Linked DNA regions of Solanum lycopersicum. The protein of the gene in region 1 interacts with the protein of each later gene in a pairwise test. Links are inferred from orthologs where the notes say so. Each region holds a gene or a part of one and is shown on either strand. Other genes may lie near its edges. The genes, in order: MAPK12 and phantastica.

What was found.
Region 2: the proteins of MAPK12 (region 1) and phantastica interact in binary tests that used the Arabidopsis thaliana proteins (3 or more experiments, as listed by UniProt). The link is inferred for Solanum lycopersicum from reciprocal best matches to the Arabidopsis thaliana genes MPK20 and AS1.

The regions. Positions count from the first base shown.
Region 1 is NC_090806.1:66,709,224-66,722,253, forward strand, and holds MAPK12 (mitogen-activated protein kinase 12), read left to right. Parts: upstream 1-4,670; 5' UTR 4,671-4,835; coding exon 4,836-4,859; intron 4,860-5,902; coding exon 5,903-6,311; intron 6,312-6,530; coding exon 6,531-6,658; intron 6,659-6,799; coding exon 6,800-6,859; intron 6,860-7,785; coding exon 7,786-7,935; intron 7,936-8,021; coding exon 8,022-8,177; intron 8,178-8,289; coding exon 8,290-8,501; intron 8,502-8,584; coding exon 8,585-8,686; intron 8,687-9,338; coding exon 9,339-9,508; intron 9,509-9,612; coding exon 9,613-10,067; 3' UTR 10,068-10,204; downstream 10,205-13,030.
Region 2 is NC_090808.1:4,652,948-4,665,950, forward strand, and holds phantastica, read right to left. Parts: upstream 7,658-13,003; 5' UTR 7,508-7,657; intron 6,999-7,507; exon of another isoform or gene 6,821-6,998; intron 5,029-6,820; 5' UTR 4,979-5,028; coding exon 3,896-4,978; 3' UTR 3,769-3,895; downstream 1-3,768. Other genes in the region: E3 ubiquitin-protein ligase PRT6, read right to left, coding at 748-813.

The DNA.
Region 1 (13,030 bases):
TTTTGGATAATTAAACTTTTTTTTTAGCACATGGTTTTGTTTTTCTTTAAAAAGAATGAATAGTTGCACCATTCATTCTTTCACGTCAAAAGCTTAGTGATTGGAGCAACAATTTGTATTTTTATTTCAAACTTATCCCATAATTTATTGATAGTTTCGATATTTGATATTAAATTTTGATTGAATTAAAATTGTATATTATATGAGTTATTTTTAAAAGTAATATGTTTAATTTTTTTTATAGAAGGTCAAATATAAGATTTATAATATTACTAATTATTTCTGATTTCACCACTGATCATATTAGCGATTAATTAGTTGTTGCACTATGCATGATATGAACATCATGCTAAAGTTGATTAAGATGTTTTATTTTATAATATTTTTTGTTGGTTGCTTTATTTAGGTTGGTTATGGGTTTCTATCTTTGCTAGGAAGTAAGTAACTATCCAATAATATTTTAGGGGGTTAATAACTTATACTAACACTTTTATTTCCTTAATTAGGATTTTAATTCGTATATAATATTTAATTAAATATATGTAATATTTAATTAATTGAAAGAGAGATGGAATCTGCCTTTTTTCGCTTAATCAATATTTAGCCCATAAACACTTTGATTAATTTAGCAAACTGCATGCATATGTATCTGTTGCTACAATAGAATTATGAAGACAAAATCTATTAATTGCAGTAACTTTTACTTTTAGAACATAATTGTCGATGACTCAAATCAATTTATTAATTACTAATTAATACACGTTTGTGCAGAGGGGACAAAGAAAATTCATATCATTTCACGTTAATTAAGGAGTATGAGAATTATCATAATTTTGTTTGTATCAGTCTCTAGTGCTTTTCACTATTTGTGTAATCATGTAATTTTAAAGTCAATATTTCAATTGACTTAATTACATTATTTGTTGTTGCAAAAATGATTCTCGTATGTGTTTAATATATTTTAATTAAGACGATGGATTATTAGAAATAATATTTTTATTTGTATAAAATATGAATAAAGTCGTATACACACTACCCTATTAAGAATCAGACCTTCACATATAAAACTTTATTATATTTATTATTGTATATTTTGTAATTAGATAAAGAAAAAAGAATTAATTGAAATGAAAGGGGAAATATGACGGTAAGTTGTATATCACGTCACATGTGGCTTTCACCTCACCCAAATATTAGGTCAGGTATCTTGTACACGGTGGGAAAATGCTTAAAAATTGTGCATTTTTGTTAACTTGGATGGCGATATAAATAAATTGATCGAATGATATAAATAAAAACAAATCTCAACTACTAGCGAAAATTAAAAAACTATTTTAAACGCTTTTCCCCTAATTATTTTGACGAAAAGAAAGGCATCACTTTCACACCAACCCCTTTTATTGCTTTATTATTCATTTAAGCAACTAATTAAAAAATAGCTAATATTGACAAACTCCTTAATGTAGCTAATTACAATTATTAATTAGATTACTGTGTTGTGACTTGACAACTTATAATGACACTTTTTAAAAGCCAGCTGGAAAATTAATTAAGCCCCATCATATAATTAGTAAAAATCCAATTCTATTGACATGTTAGATGTCAAGAGAACTTGATTAGGACCTTACAATAGAGGATTAATTTATTTTTAAGTACACATAGTCTTGTGAAGGCACGTTTTCAATTAATTTTAATGATATAAATAAAAAATAAATATGAAAATAGATAAGCAGACGCAATTATTATTCTCGAATACGATAAATATTATTGTCCTTGATTTACATACTATTACATTGAATTTAGTAAAAGGTGCTTACGATGCATGTGGTTCCAATTTAATGTCAGATAAAAAGAATTTCGATAATAGTTTTTCGTACGATGGTCCAGGATGAGGCGATTCTTGTTATATTTCGGCACAAAATGTGTTTTATTTGACAGTTTTTTTGAATGTTAAATATTACTGGATGAGTTACTTTTATTGACATTGGAAGCACACAATATTATGGCCTCGAGAGATATATTATACAAGTCAGACCTCATGCATTTAACTTAAAAAATATGTTTGAAAATTTCAAATATACGATCCTCATCTGATCAATCACCTTAACGATAAATTAACTATGTACTATCAAATATCTAATAGTTATAATAACTTGTTTTTTAATCCAAAGTATTTTTTGTTAGAAAAAAAACTAATCGAACCACTATAAAAATTAATTTTACCAAGCATATTAGAAAAAAGTTATATTACTTCATTGTTAGATCTACTAAATTATTTTATCCATATCGAATATTCAATGAAACCATAGGAATAATCAAGAAATTACGTCAGCACACAATCAATCTTTCAAATCGTCATTTTCTGTTGTTTTCCGCACCGTCCGATATTACATTTAGAATTCGATTATTATAAATTTTTTTAAAAATAATTCTCTATATTAAAAATCAGCTGATTCTTTTAAGAAAATATAAATTTAATATTAAAAAATACAGAGAATATAAACCACGTAAATTTAAAAACTGAATTTAATTTTTTTAGAAGTATATAAAAAGAAAGGCATATAAAGAAACAAATCGGCCGTAGAATCTTAGAAACAGAGTTAAATTTATTGGAACCGACACATTATAATAAGTACAAAATACTAATAGTTGGCAGGTTGCTGTCACTCATTTTTATCATCACTCTACTAATTGTGATGTGAATAATAATATGTATGGATATCGACGAAATTTGTGATGCGATAAATAAGATATTTTTATATCAACTCAAAGTTTTGAAAATAAAATATACTATAGTATAAAATATAATTTTATATGATCTTATTTCGACAATCACCTTTTCTACGTGTTCCCTAATTTCATGGCACTGCTTCTGAAATTTTGTCTTTGGTTACATAATTAAAGTGGAATACAAAAAGTTATTGCAAGTTGCTTAAACTATTTCTAATACAATTTTTTTTTCTCATAATAAAATGTATATTATAACCTAAAATTTCAATTACTAATGTTTTGTTTACATTATTAAGTTGGATTAGAAAAAAAGAAACACAACTAGACAACATTGTAGTTTGAATGTCACATCTTAAACAATAGATTAACTCTTGATATAAATAATGTAGTAATTTTTTCCCATAATAATTGTACTCTTTCTTCTGTATTGAATTATTAAAATTAAATTATTTGATTTGATATAATTATTTATCACGAATAAATAATTACTATTCTTTTCATATCATTCATTAATAAATATGTTTTCAGTTAAAATGAAATGATGATATACACTAGTCATTTAGGAAAATAACTATTTAATATCTTTATTAATTTGCTATATTCAAGCGTCTCGAAGATTTTTAAAAACAATTTTTTTATTTAAATTAAAATATTGTCATAATTATTAATAGTAGACCAAGTTGAAAGGTGCATGCAACCACAATATTACTCAAACTTTCCAAACTAATAACACACCAACCAATTTTGTGGTGCTCTTATAAGCACGGAGATACCTTTCTTTTTCATTATTTTATGTAAAATAGTAATTTTAGTACTCATAAAAATAATTAAATTTATGTTTTTAATCATTAATAAACTTCTAACTCTAATTAACAAAATAAGAATATCTTTATGTTAATCTACTTCTCAAAGCTATTGCCTATTAGTATTAGTATTTAACATAAATTAATATTAAAATTTAGAATATATATATATATATATATTTTTTTTTTTGCCTCTTTTGCGTGTGTTGAATGCACACGCCGCTTGGATGTCACTAATGTATTGTATATACAGATAAGATACACTCACATCACATGCACCTAATAAAATATAATACATGAAGTACTTTATACTAATATTATTATTCTATTATTAACAATGAATAATGTATTATAAATTTTGTCCTTTAATTTACTTTCATCTAATATTTATGTGTGTATTATAACAAGATATTTTAATTTGTATAACATTGAACAAATAAATACAGATAATTTACTTGACGTTTTATGCAACATTTTATGTAATGTTCTACACATATTTTGATATACAGAATAAATGTGTCTAGTGATTGATTTTTATAAAGTGTCTAATTATTTCATTAATTATCGATGTGAGACCCATCACATTAATCACACAAGAGACTTTTGTCATTCTTTAAAACTCCATCTCACACTCGGTGCTTGATATCATAAATGTTAATTGAGACAGATTTAAACTATTTGAGTTTGAATCTCTTAAAAAGGTCCCGAATGTAAATCTTATAATTTATAATTTATTTTTTTCGTATTCTAATATGAATATTTTGATTTTTTTTAAATATCGAACATCGAATAGATAGATTAAAATAAATATAGGTGCTTTATATTTGTATTGTATTTCTCCTTTCTCTTTCTAACACAACCACCCTACAGTTCCAACCCCACCTCAATATTGTCGGTGTCAGATCTCCCTCTTCCCCACCAGCTAGGGTTTCTTCAGATCCACATATCTCTTTGATTTCATACTCCATTATTAATTATCCCATCCCGGAGTTCTTGCAATTTTGAATTTTGAGATTTAGGGTTTTGTTTTTTGGAGGTATTTTTGTGGAAATGTTGAACCCATTTCTATGATTCTTGTTGAGGGAGAGTTTATGAAGGATCAGGATAACGTGATAATAATAATACCAGTTTTGGACAATTTGAAGAGGATTAGGTGGGACTGGGACTGTTCTTTCGCCATCCGTAGCAGAGGACGTTGGGGTAAATGCGGCTGAATTTCTGAATTCAACACTCTTGTCTACTTGGATCACTCGATTCGGATTTATACTTGGATTTGTGGGGTTTCTCGAATTATTTAGAAAAATGCAGCCTGATCACCGAAAGAAAGTGAGATTTTTCTTCTTTTTTTTTTTGGAAATTTAGCTTTATGGCTATTGTTTGGTGCATTGCTTTCTGATTTCTATGGTTATTTTCTTGTGATTTTGGGATTTGGATTTGTTAGGTTCTTCGTGAATTTGTTGGTTAAATAGTAATTTTCTTGGGTGGGTGTGAAAATGATTAGGTGGGTTACAATGTCAATCTTGAGTGATAAGCTGAAAAGAGTTGATAATTGATACCTTCCATCATTCCTATTTTTCGTCTCTGTCAGGCTCTGGTTCTTTTGTGCCAAGTGGGTGTTTTTGTTTATTTCTATCTTTGTTTTTATTTGTAAATTGGATCACTTATTCCGTCAACTAACTGAGATTCGGAGGCATGATTTTGTACTCGAGTCCGTTCGAATTACTTCAAGTGGGTTCCGGATTGTAAATTTGTGCAGATGGAGTTATTTGAGTTGTTCTTTGAATGGACAATCATCATTCTTTAAGCATGTTGATGATTTTGTAGTTAAAAGTATAATCTTTTCTGACACTTTTAAATTTCACAAGATGGAGGGATTACTTCCTGCATTGGTTATTTTATTTACTATGAGTGAATTCATTACAGACAATATTCAAGTTATATGCAATTCCACTATGAAAAGATACAGCGAACAAATGTTTTACTTGCTTTAAACTAGGTAATTTTTTTTATGTAATCCATCATATTGTAGTTCTGGCTATATGCTCGTTTTACTCAAATTAAAGAATGGTATTTTGCAGCATTCAGGTTTTGACTCTTCTATATTGTTGAATCATATTTTGGAAGGGTGACTTTTATTTGTTAGATTCTGTATTTGTACAAATGTTAGTAAATGACATGTGTGCTAGTTGTGATCTTGTGCATTTCTTCTAAACCGTTGCAGAACTCATAGAATTGGATGAAATATGACAATTATTTAGGGAATGTCTTGTATGATGCGTAAAGCTGTGGACGTACCATAGACTGGCAATGTTGAATGCTTGTCTATTTTATCTGAAATGAATAATCTGAGTTTATGTACCATATTGCAGAGTTCAGCAGAGATGGACTTCTTCTCTGAATATGGTGATGCAAATAGATACAAAATTCAAGAAGTCATAGGGAAAGGAAGCTATGGTGTCGTTTGCTCAGCCATTGACACGCACACTGGTGAAAAAGTCGCAATTAAAAAAATTCATGACATCTTTGAACATATATCTGATGCGGCACGGATCCTCCGGGAGATAAAGCTTTTGCGACTTCTGCGCCATCCTGATATAGTTGAAATCAAGCATATTATGTTGCCACCTTCGAGGAGGGATTTTAAAGATATTTATGTTGTTTTTGAGCTCATGGAGTCAGATCTACACCAAGTTATCAAGGCTAATGATGACTTGACTCGGGAACATTATCAGTTTTTCCTTTATCAGTTGCTTCGTGCCTTAAAATATATACACACAGGTAAATCAGTCTGGTATTTTGCTGCATCTTTTGATCCCATAGAATTTTGAGCTCTTATAATGTTACACATAATCTATTTCCCCTTATTTTCAAATTTCGGAGAGGATTATGTTTGTGTATCTCTAAATGGGGCACTGACCAGTCCTGTTGGCATCAGTAAGTGGACTAATCATTTCATGTGGGTTATCATAATTTTGATGATTCTTTGTTTTCCTGCAGCTAATGTCTACCATAGAGATTTAAAGCCGAAAAATATCTTGGCAAATGCAAATTGCAAGCTCAAGATCTGTGATTTTGGATTGGCCAGAGTTGCATTCAATGATACACCTACCACAATATTTTGGACGGTAGGTGATATTGAATGTTCGCATATTTCTTCCTCCACCACTCCCCACTTATCTGTTGAATGCATTTTATATTTACCAACATGTCATATTCATCTTTACAGGTTTTCACTCTTGTAGTAACTTCACTTGTGAAAATTGCAGGATTATGTAGCTACTAGATGGTATAGAGCTCCAGAGTTATGCGGTTCATTTTACTCCAAGGTACAGTTAGGATTTCCTTAAAAGTTCTTTCATCAATAGAATATATTGATCATGCTTTTGTGAGTTTGCAGTGAAAAAGGTCATGCAAGTATGTGGATTCTTCTTTTAAAGAGGATTATAGAAATAACAATCAAATTAAAGCGATGAAATAGGAATACAATTTCTTCTTGTTTGTATTTTTCTCTCTAATCCAACTCTTTTTTCATTGTACTTCTAGTAAGCAAATAGTTTGATGTCCAGAAAACTTGACATGTAATCAATGCATTGGTTTATAGATTGAAATGTTGTATGTTAGGTGCTGTCACAAGCTAGAAGCATTTCTCACTGTTAACCCATTGATTTGTTTCTCGTTATGATTAATAGCACCCAAGGGTGTGGCTTAGAGGTCAATGAAGTGGGTGAGACCTATGAGGTCTCAAGTTCAAATCCCAAAAAAGGACAAAAAAACACTAGGTGATTTCTTCCTATTTGTCCTAGCCTTGGTGGATAAAGTTGCCTGGAAATTGTTGTTTTGTTTTTTGGAAGTGGGGGGGTATCTCATGGATTTAGTTGTGGTGCGTGCAAGGTGGCCCGCATGAACACCACGGTTATGAAGGTAAAAATTAAAATTTTGCAGTATCTACATAGGGCGGCGGTGGCTTTAAACGTGGGATGTATATGTGCATGTCTCGTGTGATATTTCTGATTGTACAGCTTTCTTATTCATGGATCAGAATTATTGTTTACATGCTCTGCACTTGCTGAACACTTTGCATTTTACCTTTTCTATCAAATTTGCTGATCCTTTTGTGCATTATGGATATTTTGCACTGTTGTGAGGTCAATCACCCTTCATAGTAGAGTGTCAATTTTCCTGGAATTTGTTTATAATCATTGCACTGCATGTAGTTCTGACTATCACAAATTTTGATGGTTTCTGCTTGCAGTATACCCCTGCAATTGATATATGGAGCATAGGCTGTATCTTTGCTGAGGTTCTTACGGGGAAGCCGCTCTTTCCTGGAAAAAATGTAGTTCACCAACTGGATTTAATGACTGATCTGCTTGGAACGCCTTCAATGGATACAATTTCTCGTGTATGTGAATTCAATTAACATTACGTTTTTGACAATTTTTCCTCAAAACTTGTGTTTCTCATTAGACTTTTTTATGGCTGTTGCAGGTGCGTAATGACAAGGCTAGGAGATACCTAACTAGCATGAGAAAGAAGCAGCCTGTTTCTTTTGCTCAGAAATTTCCAAATGCTGATCCTTTGTCCCTTAAACTTCTTGAAAGATTACTTGCTTTTGACCCCAAGGACCGACCCACTGCTGAGGAGGTTCGTGTTAGCATGCCGATCATACTAATTTTGAGCTTTTCTTTTGGATATTTTAGTATAATTTGTTCTCTTGCATGGTAATTACTAATACACCCCCCACCCAACAAATCAGGCACTAGCTGATCCTTATTTTAAGGGTCTGGCTAAATCTGAAAGGGAACCATCATGCAAGTCAATTTCAAAAATGGAGTTCGAATTTGAGAGGCGAAGAGTGACGAAGGAGGATCTCAGGGAATTAATATTCCGGGAGATACTAGAATATCATCCTCAGCTGAGGAAGGATTACTTGAATGGTGTAGAAAGGACTAATTTTCTGTATCCGAGGTAGTATATTTTTCTTGACATTTGTGCATCAGCTTACTCGTCTAAACAAAGGATTACTGACTACATATTGCTTTTCCTTGCAGTGCTGTTGATCAATTCAGGAAACAGTTCGCTCACTTGGAAGAGAACGGTGGTAATGGCGTTCCAGTGGTTCCGATGGACAGGAAGCATGTCTCTCTTCCAAGGTGATTATGAGTCCTGGTGCTCAAATTTCCTCCTTTATAACATCGTCTAATCTAGGAAGAAGATCAAATATGACAACTTGGTATAAAGAATTTGAGTTGACTGGATGTTTGGTGCTATTAGGGAAACCAGTTGATGTTTCGGCTTGGGACGTTCCCTGCATGCACTTGTATTGCAATTCTGTGTTAGTTACCATTCTAGGAAGAAGATCAAATCTTTCCTTTTATATGACAACTTGGTATAAAGAATTTGAGTTGACTGGATGTTTGGTGCTATTAGGGAAACCAGTTGATGTTTCGGCTTGGGACGTTCCCTGCATGCACTTATATTGCAATTCTGTGTTAGTTACCATTCTCCAAAAAAAAATAAAAATAAAATTGCAATTCTGTGTTAATATCCTTCTATATATTTACATAGTATGTTTAATCGGGCCATCACTAGTTCAGATATTCAAATACTAGATTGCTTATTAAATTCATGCTTTATATGCATCTTAGTTTTGGCTTCAGATGTAAATTTGTATATGCAATCATACAATATCTGTCAGTCTTTGGTTTGCATTTTTTAAGATGAATGAATCAAAAGTTTATTGTATAACTTGTTTGTTTGGTGTTATTTTAAGTTAGAAATGATAACACGGTGATTCTATTGCAGGTCTACAGTTGTACATTCAAATCCAAACCCTTTGAAAGAACAGCCTATTGTTGCCAATATGAGAGACCGACAAAATGGTGAAGAGTCTTGCAGTAGAAACTGCAGAGATTCTGAAGGCCTTGCAAGTAGTCTAACAAGAACCCTACAGGCTCAGCCAAGAAATGCTTTAGGTATTTTCCGTCAATGATGAAATACTTTTCTACTTTGACTTTCTGTAATACTGTGATGTTTCCAATGATGCTCATATGGTTCACAATCTTCTATTTAAATCCAGCAGCCAAACCAGGAAAAGTTGTTGGTCCCGGTTTGGCTTATGATTCGGGAAATAGAGAAAAATATGATCCTAGGTCTCAAGTCAGGAATGCAGTAGGCCCCCCTCAGATTATGTCTTCAGTTTACAGCTACGACAGAAGTGGGGTGGTGAAACAAGAAAGGTCTGTTGAGACAGAGAGGGATATGAATTGTCATTCAAAGCCAATGGCACCATGTGGAATGGCTGCTAAGTTAGCCCCAGATATTGCTATAAATATTGATAGCAACCCATTCTATATGATGCGAGCTGGAGTTACAAAACCAGATCGTGTTGATGACCGAATCACCATAGACACAAACTTATTGCAGGCTAAATCCCAATATGGTGGAATTGGAGTTGCGGCGGCAGCAGCTACTAGTGGTGCAGCTCATAGGAAAGTAGGGACTGTTCAGTATGGTATGTCCAGGATGTACTAGAAAATACACCTCCAAAGTGGTGAAATTATGAATACATACATGTTGGGTGGGGTTGGAGAAAGTCCATCTCAGGAATGGTGGCAGAAACTCTTTGGACAAAAGGGTATGGTGGGTTGTACAGGCAGGAGAATCTGCAGGGGATCTAGTCCTATTTCCTAATTGTCAGTTTTTCCTAGTTGTTATCACATGAAGACTATATCATATTTTCATCATGAAATTCATTTTAGTGATGGTAATGTCCCCTCCCCTTCTCCGCAACAGCGAGTCTCTTTCTGAAATTCAACGAAGCGAAAAATGTCCCTCGAGTTTTCTTTTTTCGATCACAGTTCGTTCCTCTCATCACGAGGCATCTGGTTTAGTGAACATATAATTTCCATGCTAATTGTTTAGGTGTTCTTTGCTTATTTGTGTACATTCTGATGCTAAAACAAATTAAAAATTGTGGCTTAATGAACCACTTTAACTACCCATACACTATAATGTACCTTCTTTTTAATGCTATAATGTACTCTCTTTTTTTTTCGTTAGTAAGTTGAATCATTTTCTAGTTCATCACGAAACATCTACCAACCAAATCAATAAAAAAAATATTCATGAAATCCAAATTAATTTAATATGTATTGGTAGCCAAAACTCATCTTACATATCCTCCCAAATTAATTTGTCCAGCTATGGGGTTCAGTCTAATACACAAATGCATCTTTATTTTATCTTTGTATGGTAGAAAAGATAATTTCGATAAATTCTCAATTCAAAAAAATACAATCAAATCACGATAAAAAAAAAAATTAACAATAAAATAGCAAGATAAACTAGACATATGAAATAACATGTAATAGGAAATTAGGAAAATAAAATACTACACATATACTAACTAATATAATTACGACACTCGATTATCTATAATTCTTGACCTTCAAATCTTCCTATGTAGGGCATGTCTTTATTAAACTGGCATATTGAAATATAAAAGTTTTTATCTTCCTCATTTTTTTTTATCTGTATATTTCTTGATTGAATTTTCTCTCTGAAATGTTATAGAACACATTTAAGATTTATGTATTTTTAAACATATATAAGGTCATTGACATGTTTAGTCAGATCTATGCATGATGGAAAATGTAAGTAAAATAAAGTGTACAATATTCTGATTTTGATGATTCTTGTGTCAGTATGTAACATGACTTGATATGTTAGAATTATATTTTTAATGATTGAAATTTTATAATATATCACTTAGGTGCATAATTCTAATTAAACATAAACACCTCAACTAAGTTCCCTTCTCTCACCACTCATGTATCAACCTCACCTCAAAAAGCTAAAAGAAAAACAAAACCATGTATGTATTTGGGTTAAATTATTCAAAGTGTTTGAGTTCGTTTGTACGTAATTTATCTATTTTTAAAAATATCTACTATCTTCCGTTTTCAATATAAACATCGAACAAAGTAAAAAAATCAATTTCCAACCAAATAGTATATCATATGCCAAGTAGGATTGGGTTGGGGTGGTGGAGTAGTGGGGTGGGGGACAAGGCACATAATTTCATGGAAATTGCATAGCATGTGTTTCTCCTCATAGCTATGATTATTCAAATATCCTTTTTTCAGCCTGCTATACATAGTATCCATAATGTGTGTTGTGTGCATTGTCTCAACAGGAACCCCACATTGTTTCAGTGTCTTTTTTACCCACTTCATCCTGTCAATACCTTACACACTTCATATAGTTGAGTAACGAAGGAAAACCTTCACGTAATTGATAAAATTGATGCTCTTTAATTAAGAGTTTAGAGATTTAATAAAAAATAGTCGCGTGAAGATGTTATTAGCTGTGCCAACTAATACTCTTATAGCCCTTAGATCAGCACGAGCTTGTCCGAGCACGTGAACGTTTTGTCATCCCCCCCCCTCCCCCAAACTTGGTTTCTTTGTCCGGTCTCTCTTTATTTTTTTCTTCGAGTGTCATGTGTATTCAATCAATTCTTACCTTATACCACAAACTTTTATAGTCAGATTTTTTCACAATATCTTTTTAAATGAATAGAACAAATTGAATTATTTATAGGTTACAATAATGAGGCAATAGCTAATAGAAATGTCTCAATTGAGCCCTAAAATACTAAAACTATTAAATTAAGGATGCATCGAGATATCGCTAATGATGCCAACTAATATTCTTATAGCCTCTAGATCCGTCCAAGATAGCTCATCTCTCTTTGCCCACGTCATAATTAAGCGTCTAAACCTTCCTAGCCTTTGGAGTATTTTTGCTTTACCTTTTATTCTTCTCGAGGAATCAACTTTCCTCATCTCTTTTCATTCTTTTCCTAAAAAAATACTACGTATCTGTGTTCAATCAATTCTCACCCTATACAATAGATTTTTGTAGTCAGATTTTTCTGGAAACCCTACATATATAGCGAAAGCTTAGTGTATCAGATTTTTTTTATATAATAATTCGATATTTTAAGTTAGTAAATTTTGATGGATTTCGTATAAACTACTAGTAGCGCTACATATTTTCAAAAAAATATTTAAAGACCTGCAAAACATGTTAGCGTTAGTAAAACTTTTAATGTGTTTCACATATTAGGTACTAATTAATTAATCACTTGTTGAATTTTCATCATTTCCTAATTGAATAATAATAGTTGAATAAAGGTACATTATGTACTAACTAGATCTGTATTTATATTCTATTTTCAACACCAAATACATGAAGCTTTACCTAATTATCTTTTACTTTTTTTTTCTTACTTGAAAGAGAAATTAGTGCGGTTGATTTGATATTAATTAGAAATTTCCTTAATTGGTCCCATCATGACTTTGTCCTAACACAACAATCTCAGTAATTGAGATTAAGAATTAATTAAGATACATGACAGGTGGATTAGATTTAGATCAATGAACTAATTAGTGGGATCAACTCATGAACAAATTATTTTGGCTAATTTGTAT
Region 2 (13,003 bases), on another chromosome or scaffold:
TCCAGGTGTGGCACATGGTTCTCAGCATTGCTCAAGATCCCTAGGTGATGCCAGAACTTACTGCTGATCTTTTGAGTTGTTGGATGAGAACGGGGGGGGTCAAGACCCAAAAAGGATGGTGGTCTTAGCTCATGAGAATATTACTAACACTATTCAGAAAATTAAAGAAAATTGCATTAACATGTTGTATTTTTGGTGTAAAGAAAATGGTATAGAAGAAGTAGAACAATTGATAGATCTCCTAGGATCAATGCAATTATGGATATAGGTTGTAACTTTTTGGAGGTAGCCACTAGCCAGCATACCTTAACGCTGAAGAATACAACCTAGCACGCAAGAGTGTAGCCTAGTGGTCAATAAAGTGGGTTGAACACCCTAAGGTCTCAGGTCTCATGTCCAATCCCAATAAAGACAAAACACGGTGATTTACCTGCTTACCTGAATTAGTCGAGGTACACACAAACTAGCTCAAACATCACCATTATCAATACATATATAAACCTTCCAACTTCATTTCTCCAGTTCAGTGATGAATCATATAAAACTCAACTCAACTACACCTATATCCCAAACTATTTAGTTTCAACAAAATGAATGAATCCTTATCCATTCCACTCTATCTTCAAAATTTCAAAGCATTGTGATTATCTTAATACTAAAAACCTCAATAGTTATAAATCACGCATAATAGGAGAGTACAAAATACATAAAATTAGTTCCAAGCAAAATTCAAGTTAACCGGAGTACCTTAAGAATAAATTCCTGCGGACTTGTCATCTTCGTCTCCGGCGCCGGCGCAGAATCAACCTCCATTAGAAAAATGAACCGAATCCAATCGGCGCAATTACAATCCCCAATATTCACAATTATTGTTCCCCAGGGCTGAACGGTACTGTCAGTCTTACACAATCAAACCTTCAAAATTATACGAAAATCTGAAACCCTAACTGATTTCTAAAGGCATACGATTCTTGAATGGGTGTTTTCAGATTTTTATCAATTTGTAGTTTTTACCATTGAAATTGTGTGATTGATTTTATTAAATTCCAACATATTCATAGGTAATATTTATATTTCCTCTTATAGTATTAAATTTTTGGATATGATTTAGTTATATAGGTAATAATTTTTTATATATATATTTGATATAAGATAATACATAATTTATATATGTATTAATTATTGTTGATTTCTAAATTATCAGTCAAATGTGATATTACTTTTATATATAAATAAATTAGTTCATATTTATCTATAAAATGTTGTATAAGTTATTCGAAAAATAATATTTAAATAATTTATTTCTTGTCGTGCTAACAAATGACTCATTAGAAATGTGCCTAATTCTATACTGCTTTCGATTTAAAATAGCATTTATGTTTTCCTTCTCGATAATCAATTTGATTAATTTTTAAAATTAAATTAATTTAATTATATATATATATATATATATATATATATATATATATATATATAAAGTTATAACAGTGGTAATTTTTAGCATATCAATGTAATTAAAAAAAATCTTAATATAGATAAAAATTCATATTGTTTGACTCTAAAGAAATGGGCAACTTTCACATATAGCAAACGTAAAACTCATATTTGTATGTTACAGCAAAGTTTGCATAATTGCACTCCGTAACAAACATATAAATGTATAATTTGCTAATATATATACAATAGAATTTTTTTTTGTAAAACGAAGTGTATAAAACGAGAAAGAGAAAGAGATTTGGATAGAGAATTGTATAAAACGAGAAAGAGAGAAAGTCAAAAGAGGCCTGGGCAGGAAATATACAATTGAATCGAATTGTATAAAACACAAAAGTGAGAAATTATATACAGTTTGAATTTGTATAAAACGAGAAAGAGAGAGACGGAAAAAACTGGGCAGGTGAATATTTTTATTGTAGAATTATAAGTGTATTAGACGAATATATATATATATATATGCTTGTGTATATACAATTTCATCTCGCTTTATACAAACAGAAACATAATTTATACATTTTGTTTCTGTTTGTATAAGCGAGAGAGGCGAGGGTGGCGAGCGAGATTAGAGAGAGCAGCGAGCGAGATATGGGAGAGGGGAACAAAAATATATGTATTTGTACAATTTCTGCTCGTTTTATACAAATAGAAACATATTTTATACGCTTGTATTTGAATAAAAGTAAGAGGAAGCGAGCGAGAAATGGAGCGAGAGAGGAGAGTGGCGAGCGAGAGTTTGAGGGAGGGAGATGACTAACAAACAGTTTGCTATGGAAACACAATTAAATCAATGGGTGATTATAACAATTAATTTGATTTATTAGTTTGCCATTATAAACAATTTCCCCAAAAAAAATTTATGACAAGTATTTTAGTACAAAGAAGTATAGAATTATCCCATCCAAAATTGAAAATACTTTTGTATATAAGAAAAAACTTAAAATACTCTTTTATCTTTGAGATAAAATCAACGACATCTTTTGTTTTATACATATAAAACAAAATAATAAGAGTTAAAATACTCTTTTATCATTGAGCTAGAATCAACTATATCTTTGTTTTTTTATATATATAAAACACAATAATAAGAGTTTTATAATTTTCGTCCGCCATCTAATCTTTTTCCTTTAAAAAAAAATATTGAGATCGAAAGGTTCATCACGACAAATTTAATATGCATTAGTACATAAACATTTGTTGCAACATTAGTTGTCTACGATCAATTGATATAGTTCAAAAAAATAAAGATTATTTTTTATTTAGCTACAACGACGATTGAACAGGAATAGAACATGGAGCACTTTTCTAGTTACCTTCTTTTTCGTAAAATTATTATTTCTAGTAAACATAAAATAACGCGATTGAATATTTGACAGACTAAATTATGAATAAAATTAACTTTAAAAACAGACAAATGATTGAGGAAAAATCGAAAGGATATTAATATTTCAAACACCAAGGACTATTAGTAGTACATGTAAAAAATAAAGATAAACTTTTAATTTTAATCCAAAGAAAAAAGATTATTTTGAGCTTTTTTATTTTATATTTTGATGAAGTTTTATATTTGACAAGATTTCCAATGTTTAGAACAAGAAAAATAGCCAACCATATCAAAAACACATTTCTAATTTATTAACATGTATGTTTTCATAATTGATGGAAGTTTTAAGAGTTCATACATTTTTACTATGCAAAATAATACCATCATTTCTCTTTGAACTCTTTTAACAACTTATGATGTCTAATATTGAGAAATATAACAAGATTTTCAAGTAACTTAGAAACAAGAACAAACCTAAATTCTAATATCTTTTTGAAGGATATTCATGCAAATATGATGATTAAAACCTAAATTAGAATACTCATAAAATACTATATTCAAACTATTAAAAGATAGCTACTTTTAACACAAACTCAACATTTTGTTAGAGAACCTCCCTTTCTGATGAAAATCCATATGAAGAAGAAAATCAATGAAGAACCAGAGGAATCTAGCATATATATATCAGAACTCGGTTCAATCCTCCACCTTAACGACAAAGAAAAAGGATTGATCAATTTCTACTGAGTCGCACTTACTGTAAGCTCATGCAATGCCACTCTAATTATATACTAGCACAAGAAATTGAGTAAGCAATATTAAAAGATGTTGCTACTGAAAAGATACAAGCACGTTATGTTGTCGCGAAGTTGCAACAGATCCTTTGCAGATAACAAAAATACAAGTTGCAGGCTATTATAAAATTATCATATCATGCATAGAGGAAAACATAGAAAACCAAATAGAAGATGATCAAACAAAAAGTTTACAGTAAGAAAAGTCGCGGCAAGTAGAAAGAACCGTCTAAAGGAGCAAGGAAACACAAAAGAATTCTTGGCTTAGCTTGCAAGCTTTGCTTTAGCGGCCGCCATTAGGTTCAGCAAGTCTTGATTGGCATCCCATCTGCTCAAGAAACTTAGCAAGGCGCATGTGTTTGGATGTCCATTGCTCTGCCAATTTCTGCTCTTTTGCTTCTGCATCCCTCCTCAAGCCTGCTAGTTGCTCCTTGTATTCTGCTTCAATTCTGTCTAGAGTTGCTTTCTGTTCTTCCCTCAGCGCTTTCATTTTTGCTTCAATTTCCTCCATTTTCTCCCTAACTTTGCTTGCTTTTTCAGATTCTAGTTGCAATTCAACCCTCCTTAACCTCCAAGCTGCTTCCTTCTTATGTGCAGTCCAAGTACGATGCCCTTCGTCTAAATCCTTGCAGCATTCCGCAAGTTCAGTAATAAAAGGATTTTCTCCACAAGGAGCAACACTATGATGTGGAAAACTGCTCAAGATGAGAGGCGCATTATCAGGTCCTCTATCTGTCTGTAGCCACGGAATGCCAGGTGTAGGTGTAGGCGGCACAGTAGAGGGGGAGAGACTTAAAGTCACAGATGGAGATGATGATCTAACAGTTGAAGGAGCAGAAGAATTAGAAAGCCACGGAGGAAGAAGAGTTTGTGGCGTAGGAGTTGAGGCATCGGCGTGGAGGAAACCTCCATTAGAAGTAGCCATAAGTAAACCTGGGACACTCCTTTCTTTCACAATCTTTTCTGCAAAGGTTTCGAGAATGTGATCGTATTTTCCCTCGTCTACTGGATCAACAACCTTGTTGTTTTCTTTCTGCTCTCTCTGTTGCTTCTCTTTGAAAACTTCCCACCACTTTCCTAATCTTTTAGCAGTTCGACCTGGTACTTCAGCTGCTATTTTCTTCCATTTGTTACCGTGTTTGGCTTGTAGTTGTATAACAAGACGCTGCTCGTCTTCAGTGAGTGATCCTTTTTTAATCCCTGGTTTGAGGTAGTTTTTCCACCTTTCTAAACAAGACTTCGCGTCCCTGTTAAGGGGCGTGTTCATACGCTGTGATACAAGGTGCCATTCTTTTGGTCCATACTGTCTCACGTATGCTCGCAACAAAGCATCCTCTTCAGCTCGCCACCGTTGCCTCTCCCTCATTTCCAGGTGTAAACACCAGTTTCCATCCTCCCAAACTCCTCATAATTTTCCTGAAAGAATGTTTCGCACCATTTTACTTGCAATACTTGAGTATAGAATCTGAACCATAACTTAAGCAAGCTATTGATCACAAACAAAGTACATGCAAGTGCATCACATTTAATGTAGTTACTAAAATCTTAACTTGTATGGGAAGTCATTACAACGCCCCTAAATAAAATACCGTCACAGTAACAAAGGATCATGATCGTTCAGTAGGACTTCAACAAAGGAAACTCATGCAATGTTCCAGTACTCGAGACATATCCAAGAGAAGAATACAACTGATTGCTCATATACAAAACTTAATAGAAAATAGATAATGAGAACAAATGATGTACATATTTTAAACACAGTCAACATGCTAGTTCCAAATAAAACACGGCCTCAAAAATTGGGACAGAGGGAGTAACTCTGTTCTAACCGCGTTATTTAGGGGTATCAGGTCATAATTTTCAAGAAAGTGCTGCTATGTCAATCTGGTATCACTACTCAGGACCAGATCAATATTAAAAATAATGTAAAATTGAGTTGGCATTTCTAGAAGACATCATTAATCAGATAGAAATAAGAAAAGAATCGAAGAATATATTCACATTTACTTTTGTTCAGACCCTTCGTCATTGAACTATTAACATGAACAGAGACCAGACTAGCCACATTCGAAGGTCACATCTAAGATATATGCAGAAAAGACTGTAAAGAAAAAACGAAAGCAGACGTGTGTGCACACAAGTAGATTGATTGAAACATGCTTTACATAAATCATTTGATGCAATATATTAACAATGTACCGGCATAATTGTATGATTACACGGATCATTAATAATCAGACATCACAATACTCAATCGGCTTCACTATCTAGATCGATATCCTTCTTGACCAGCATTGAGGTACAAGATCATTGCAAGTGCATAACAAACACAAAAAAGAACTCAGCAGAATATGATGATGCAAATTAAGTAACACCCTTCTTCCTAGATTACTTAACACATGTTCATTTAGCTCAATTGCAATAACCCTTTAAGAGTACTAAAGTTTTCATGTCCAAAAATATCTATGAAACATCAAGCTCTGAGACTACTACAACATACTCAGTGTAGTCACACAAGTGGGATTTCGGGAGCATACGAAATACACAGACCATACCTACCTTTGTGGGGTAGAGACGTTGTCTCTAATGGACTCTCAGGCTCAAAAAATAAGTTTTTTGAGGAAACGAATACACTATCAAAATAGCTAGACAAAAAGCAAGAAACACCAGATAACCACAATGAGACTATCCACAGAAATTGAGTGACACATATCTTCAATATATCAAGATAGAGAATAAAACAAGCTTAACGTGAGAAAACACAATAAAGATGGGAGAACTTTTATGCAAAATGTAATTAGGTAGTTATACCAGAAAATGTATTGACAACAAATAGAAAGATTCAAGACTAGCAATATAAAAACAACTCTTAGTAAGATCTGAGTCAAAAACAAACATGGTAGAGATTTCAACATTTTCCTAGTTACAGTTGAAGCCAAATTCTGCAAAAAGGCACAGAGATGATGGAAATGCAAAGCATTACAGCCAAAAGATGGATTCCTTATCTTCTCCACATATAGCATAAAAACCATACATGTAAATGCAAGAACAAAAAGACACAATTCAGTTTAAGACAAGCATCTTAAGAAAAAAATTTCCACACACAATCCAACACTGAAAAACAAACACAAACATAACATAGTAGAAAGCATCCATCATATCAGTTTGATTACAGAACCATAAAGGGAACAAGACTTGAGAATCTTACAAGAAGCCTCAAAGGAAGCACAATTCTTGCTTCAACCTATTAGATCTTTCAGTATTTTTTTCATGAAAAGATGCAGAAACCAGATTGTGCAATATGGGACAGAAAAAATGGTAATGCAGAGGCCACTAGAGCAAAAAGATAGATTCTTTATCTCCACCAGACATACATGTGAATACTTGAAAGAACAAAAACACACAAATCAGTATTTAAAAAAATAAAGAAACAAGCTGCCAGCACTGAAAAACTCCACTTCCCAGAAAACACAATAAAGTCAAAAAAGAAAAATACCCATCAAATCAGTTTGATCACAGCATCAAAAAAGGAGACAACTTTTCATAGACTTACAAAAGAACTCACAAGATACCACTTAGGCATCCCAGTTCTTAGCTCAACCCATATAATCATTTTTAATCTATTTCAAGAAAATATGAGCAAAAAGATTAAAAAAAAAATGCAGTGACCAAAATGATAATGCAGAGACCACTAAAGCAAAAAGATAGATTCTTTATCTCCACCAAATACAAACCATTAATATAAATTCTTGTTAAGACAAGCAAACACAATTCAGTAAACCAAAAAAAAAAAAAAGCAAACAACTTTATAAGACTTACCCACAACAGAACACATCATTTTGATCACAGAATCAAAAAAAGGAGCAAACTTTAAGAGATTTACAAAAGAACTTACAAGAAACAACTTAGGCATCCCAGTTTCTAGCTCGACCCATATGATCTTTTTTATTATATTTCAAGAAAATGAGTAAAAGAAAGAGAAAAAATTGAAGGATACACTACGTTTAAGCAAAAGAGAAAATGAAGAAGAAGAAGAGAGATGAAACAGAAAATAAAGGGAAAATGCAGAGTAATAAGAGAGAAAAGAGGTAAGGTATGGCCCTCTCTGTTTGAAGAATGACGTGTATAGAGAATGTGATGACGAAGACGGCAATGGCGTCTTTAACCAGAAAGGTTATTTGTACACACGCACTATTATACAACTAGTGTTGTACATCTTCTTAGAGGGTAAAATTCAAAAAAAAAAAAAAGTTAGAAGTATCACCACCTCAATTCAAATTATCGCAAAGAGTTGCTCGTATAATAAATATTTATGTTTTTACTTTTAATATTGTGAATTTAAGTTATCAAGTGAATAAAAATATAAAAATTCTATCGAATAAATAAAAAGATGAAAACTTTCTGAGAAGGAATATAAGTTCTTTCATTGTAAAAATATTTTAGCTTTCGAATTTAAGTTCAAGATTATATATTCAAAGTAAAGTGAGAGGCGAAAGATTCAAATAGTAAAAAGTTCAAATCATATAGTTATATTGAATTGAAGTCTAAGATCATTATTTATTGCGATAAATATGACCATTAAATCACAACTATATGAAAAATTCACATTATTATTATTATTATAAAATTTGAACTCTAATATCTTATTAAAGTTGGTCTCATCTATCGATGTTGATGGTTATGATAAGTCTGTAGTTTGAATGTTGGTTGGTAATTAGAATGTGTGTATAATATTGTATAATTTTTTAAAATTAATATATTTTTGTTTGTATAAATTTATTAATTTGAATTTATACAAAAAAAAAATATTCAATGGTATAAACCTATCCGTTAATTATACTAACTCATCTGCAGATTATACAAGGCAATTTAAATTATAGTTAAATTTCGAAAATATGTGAACTATAGCTATAGCTATAAATGTATTTTTAGATGTTATGTTAAAAGTTTCAGTGTATAGAGTACAATGTTCAATTATAAATTAAAAAAGATGAAATATTAAACATAGCATAATAAATTTTCATCTAATCCTTATTTTATTAAATATTGTCACTACGATAAAAATAACTTTTAGCAGTATTAAATATTGACATTAATAAATAATGTTAAAGTTTTTACCGATATTAGTTAAGTGTCATTAGAATCAATATCGCTAAAAACTATAAAAATATATATAAAAAATGACAATTGCTAATAAAAATATATATTTAACAACAATTAAAAATTGATTACAATTAATAATCATTTTTATTGTACTAAAAATAATATATAGTACACATGAATTGTTTTGTGCTGAGTTTTATAAAATAAAAAAAAAGAAGTAATAAGCTATCAAATATGTATTACTAAAAATAATAGCACGTATTAATTTCATAATATATAAATATGCTATTTAACTTGGCTTCAAAACATAATTATGCCCTTCAATTTTGGATGTATACAAATATACACTTAAACTTGTATAAAGTTGAACAAATAGACACACATGTCCTGTATGTCATCCTACAGGTCATTTTTTATCCTACGTGTATTATGATATATAGAACTCGTGTGTTTATTTATTTAAAAATTAGATAGTTAAAATATCTATTTGTGTATTATAAAAATTAAAGGTTAAAATTAAAATTTTAAGTTAAATTTAAAAATCCAACATATTTATTATGCCTTAATTTTAATACACAAGTAACTTTCAAATAGTTGAGTAATAAAAAAAAAAAGAGAAAATATGAATAAATACATGCTTCATTGAAATAGTAGCTTTTCTAATTTAGTGTTTGCAGAAAATTACAGACTCTCTTGTGCAGAAAATATGTTCAAAATACGAAAATAGTTTGTGATCTTCAAGAATCTTTTTTGTTTTATTTCTCATTCGATTTTGTGTTCGAAATTTTTATTGAATCTCTGATTAAATTATAATTGCATATAATAAATTCATTTTAAATTGCCTTTTAAATAAAATTTCTCCATATTAAATTAAAACTAGACAAACTCAAAGTATTATTATTTTGTTCAAAAAAGTCACTTTTCTTAAAAATTAATGCTTCCTCTGTCTCTATATACTTGTTCATATTTTTTTTAATATATGTTTCTATTTATTTGTCAATTTTAATAAATCAAGAAAGGACAATAATATTTTTCCTAATATGTCCTTATTTCATTCTAGAAAATTTCTAATATTACTAAGTTGTAATGGATGTTTTTTGAAATCAGAAAATATATTTATTATACTTGGAGAGTTGCATAATTTTTAAAGTTAATAGTAGAATTACAACTAACCTGTGATAATTATTGTTGTCTTAATATGTTTGTCACTTTTAAAGTGGACAACTAAATAGAAAGAGAGAGTATTTGACCATAATCTTTTTAATAAATACAATAGATCCAAAATATATTCAAATTATAAAGCCTTTTTTTTTTAAAAAAAAATAAAGACTATACTCAACTTTGACATAAAATATTTTTTTTTTACTAATTATAATTTTTTATTTGTTGGGAGGTTGGGGGGGGGGGGTTAAAGAATCATAAAATGCAATAATGGCAAGTAAGGGAAGTTTTGTAGACAGTAGTACTGATTAGCATCTGCCTAGTTCTTTGAAACTATCATCATCAAAACTCTTGCATTTATTTTTATTTTTATTTTTTTAAAATTAGTTTTTTTTTATTACTTTTTTGAAAAGTGGAAAAAAAAATACTGTTTTGATTTTTATTGTTTTCAACTTTATTATTTATGAAATCTTTTTAACTATTTTTCTGATAAACCTGCCTCCTACTCGAAGTGACTACACTCTTTACTGCCACCCCTTTAACCCCACAGTGGGAAAAAAAAAAGTAGCATCACAGTATCACCTTGATAATAGTGCCTTTTTAAAAAAAAAATCTTTTTTTTAAGGTTATATTTTTGATTTATTCATAAAAATTTGATTTTTAAAAATTACTAAATAAAGATAAATTCATAAGGTTAACTAAATAAAGATAAATTCATAAGGTTAACTAAATAAAGATAAATTCATAAGGTTACCTGTTTTTTCGTAAAAATAGTGCCTTTTAAAAAGAATCTTTTTTTAAAGGTTGTTTTTTTTTTTATCTATAAAAATTTGATTTTAAAAAATTACTAAATAAAGATAAATTCATAAGGTTATCTATTTCTTTTCTGTAAGAATAGACTAAAATCTAAAATGATAATGTATAAATAGAAATGTAGCAAGTACTGTTATAGCAATTTGTATTATTTATGTGTTTGTAATAAATTTTAAAATGATGAAAACTTAATTGTAATCATAAATAAAATATAAAGAAATATAATTTTATTGATAAATATTGTAGATACATTATTCTTTTCCTTTAGATTTCTAGATCTATTCATAATTTGAGAATCGTTAGTGGGCGTATTCCTTAAATTTAGATGTATGGACTTGATTTTCATAATTCGAGCGTAGTTGGTGACGTATTTCTCAAGATAGGATGACTTAGATTTGATATTCATAATTCGAGGATTGTTAGTAACATAATTCTCAAATTAAAATGATTTGAATTTGACCTCTTTATAAATATTTCACAAATTTACAAGTTAGTTGAGATTTTAATTTTTTGTATGAATAATTCATGTATTGTGATAGATATTTTCAACTTTTCGATCACTTGTTCGAAATGCTTTTCAACAAATATAAAATCATATATATAGTCATTACTAAAATTTAGGACTAAATAGATAATTTAAATTGAACCCTTTATAGATTTCTACAAAATTTTAATATCTATTGAACGGTAAAACAAAAATAGTAATAAAATAAAACAATATAAAATTTGTATTTATGTATCTCTGGTCATCATTAGCTACGGGACTTACGAGGATTGAAATGACAACTAGCTAGCCTTTGTGACCAGAAAGTCTAATGTATTTTTATAACTATAGGAGACAAGGATTTATTTTCCAATTTTTTTCCTTATAAGGCAAAACAAAATATTCCAATCAACAATATCATTTTACAAAAAATATATGGAGTTTTATTTATCTTGATTAGATATAAATTATGAAATTATGTCTTAGGTCTAATTTGTCAATTCGTTTTAAAGAAAGAGTATTATTCAAAACTTATAAGAAATCTATCTATCTAATTAACTACCCTCACGATCAGTGCTTAGCATCTAGTGCATAAGCAACGGGCTCTGCTCTGATATCATGTGAAATTAGTTCACATGCCTAATTCACACTCCAAAAGCTAGTTCAAAAGGAATAGGATTGTCCAAACCTTACAACGAGTCTACCCATCTCATTAATCGTCGATGTACAACTTTCGTCATTCTTTGACATAAATCACCTAAGTTTAGTTACCTATTATATAAATACTCAAAAAATATATATAAGTTGATATGAACACTCAAATTAGTAATCGATTGACATTATATATAACTTTTTTATTTACGTTCATTCACTAAAGAACTACTCGGCTCATTCTTCAAGAGACATATAATAGTTCTTTATCTCTATCTCGTGTGAGTGGAGAAATTTAACGCTCGATTCAACGTATGAAAACATAAACCGTAACAATAATAATATAGTAAAAAAATCGAAAACAAAATGATATAAAATATATAAAGATAAGAATTATGATAATGCAACTTAAAAAAAAAAACTTGATATGGGGGTGGGGGGGTAAAAAGGGGGTGGGGGTGGGGTGGGGATAGAGTGAGAGGGACTGTAGTCCGGGTTTCGCGGCATAAGGAGACGAAGATTGAAAGAGACAGGACTTGACTGCCCTCTTTCTTCTCTATGGCATTTGTCAGTGATACGTTACATCTATTTTTTACCCCCCCACCCCCTTTTATATACACAAAATAAAGTACAATTAACCAATATATATATAGATATATATTTATTCTTCTTTCATCCTTCTATTTAACTTCATATTTACCAACATTTGCCCTTTCAACTTTCATTATTGATGCGGTAATGTTTTAGGCGCAAAGTCAGAATTAAGAGTTTGAGATTGTAAATTTTAAGGCATAAGAGAAAAATATTATAAAATATACATTCTTTAAAGAGAAAAAAAGAATTCTTTTTGATAGTATAGGATTTGAACCTCCATCTAGCTTCGTCTTTGACCATAAGACGTGTTAAGTATCATCGAAGTGAATAAGTTTTAATATAACTTTGCAAGTAACCATAATATCGGATAGCCCCAAAGGCAATTATAGAATAACTTGTAGGTCATAGCTAATCTCAATAACTATGTACTTGAATGAAGTTTAAACTACGATAAATTGAATTAAGGATACTATTGGATATATGAGATTCTAACGAATATTACTATTTAATATCAGAAATCTTGAATTTGAACTAAACAAATTAAATAATCTTTATAAGAAAGTTAAACCTTTTTATATGAAAATT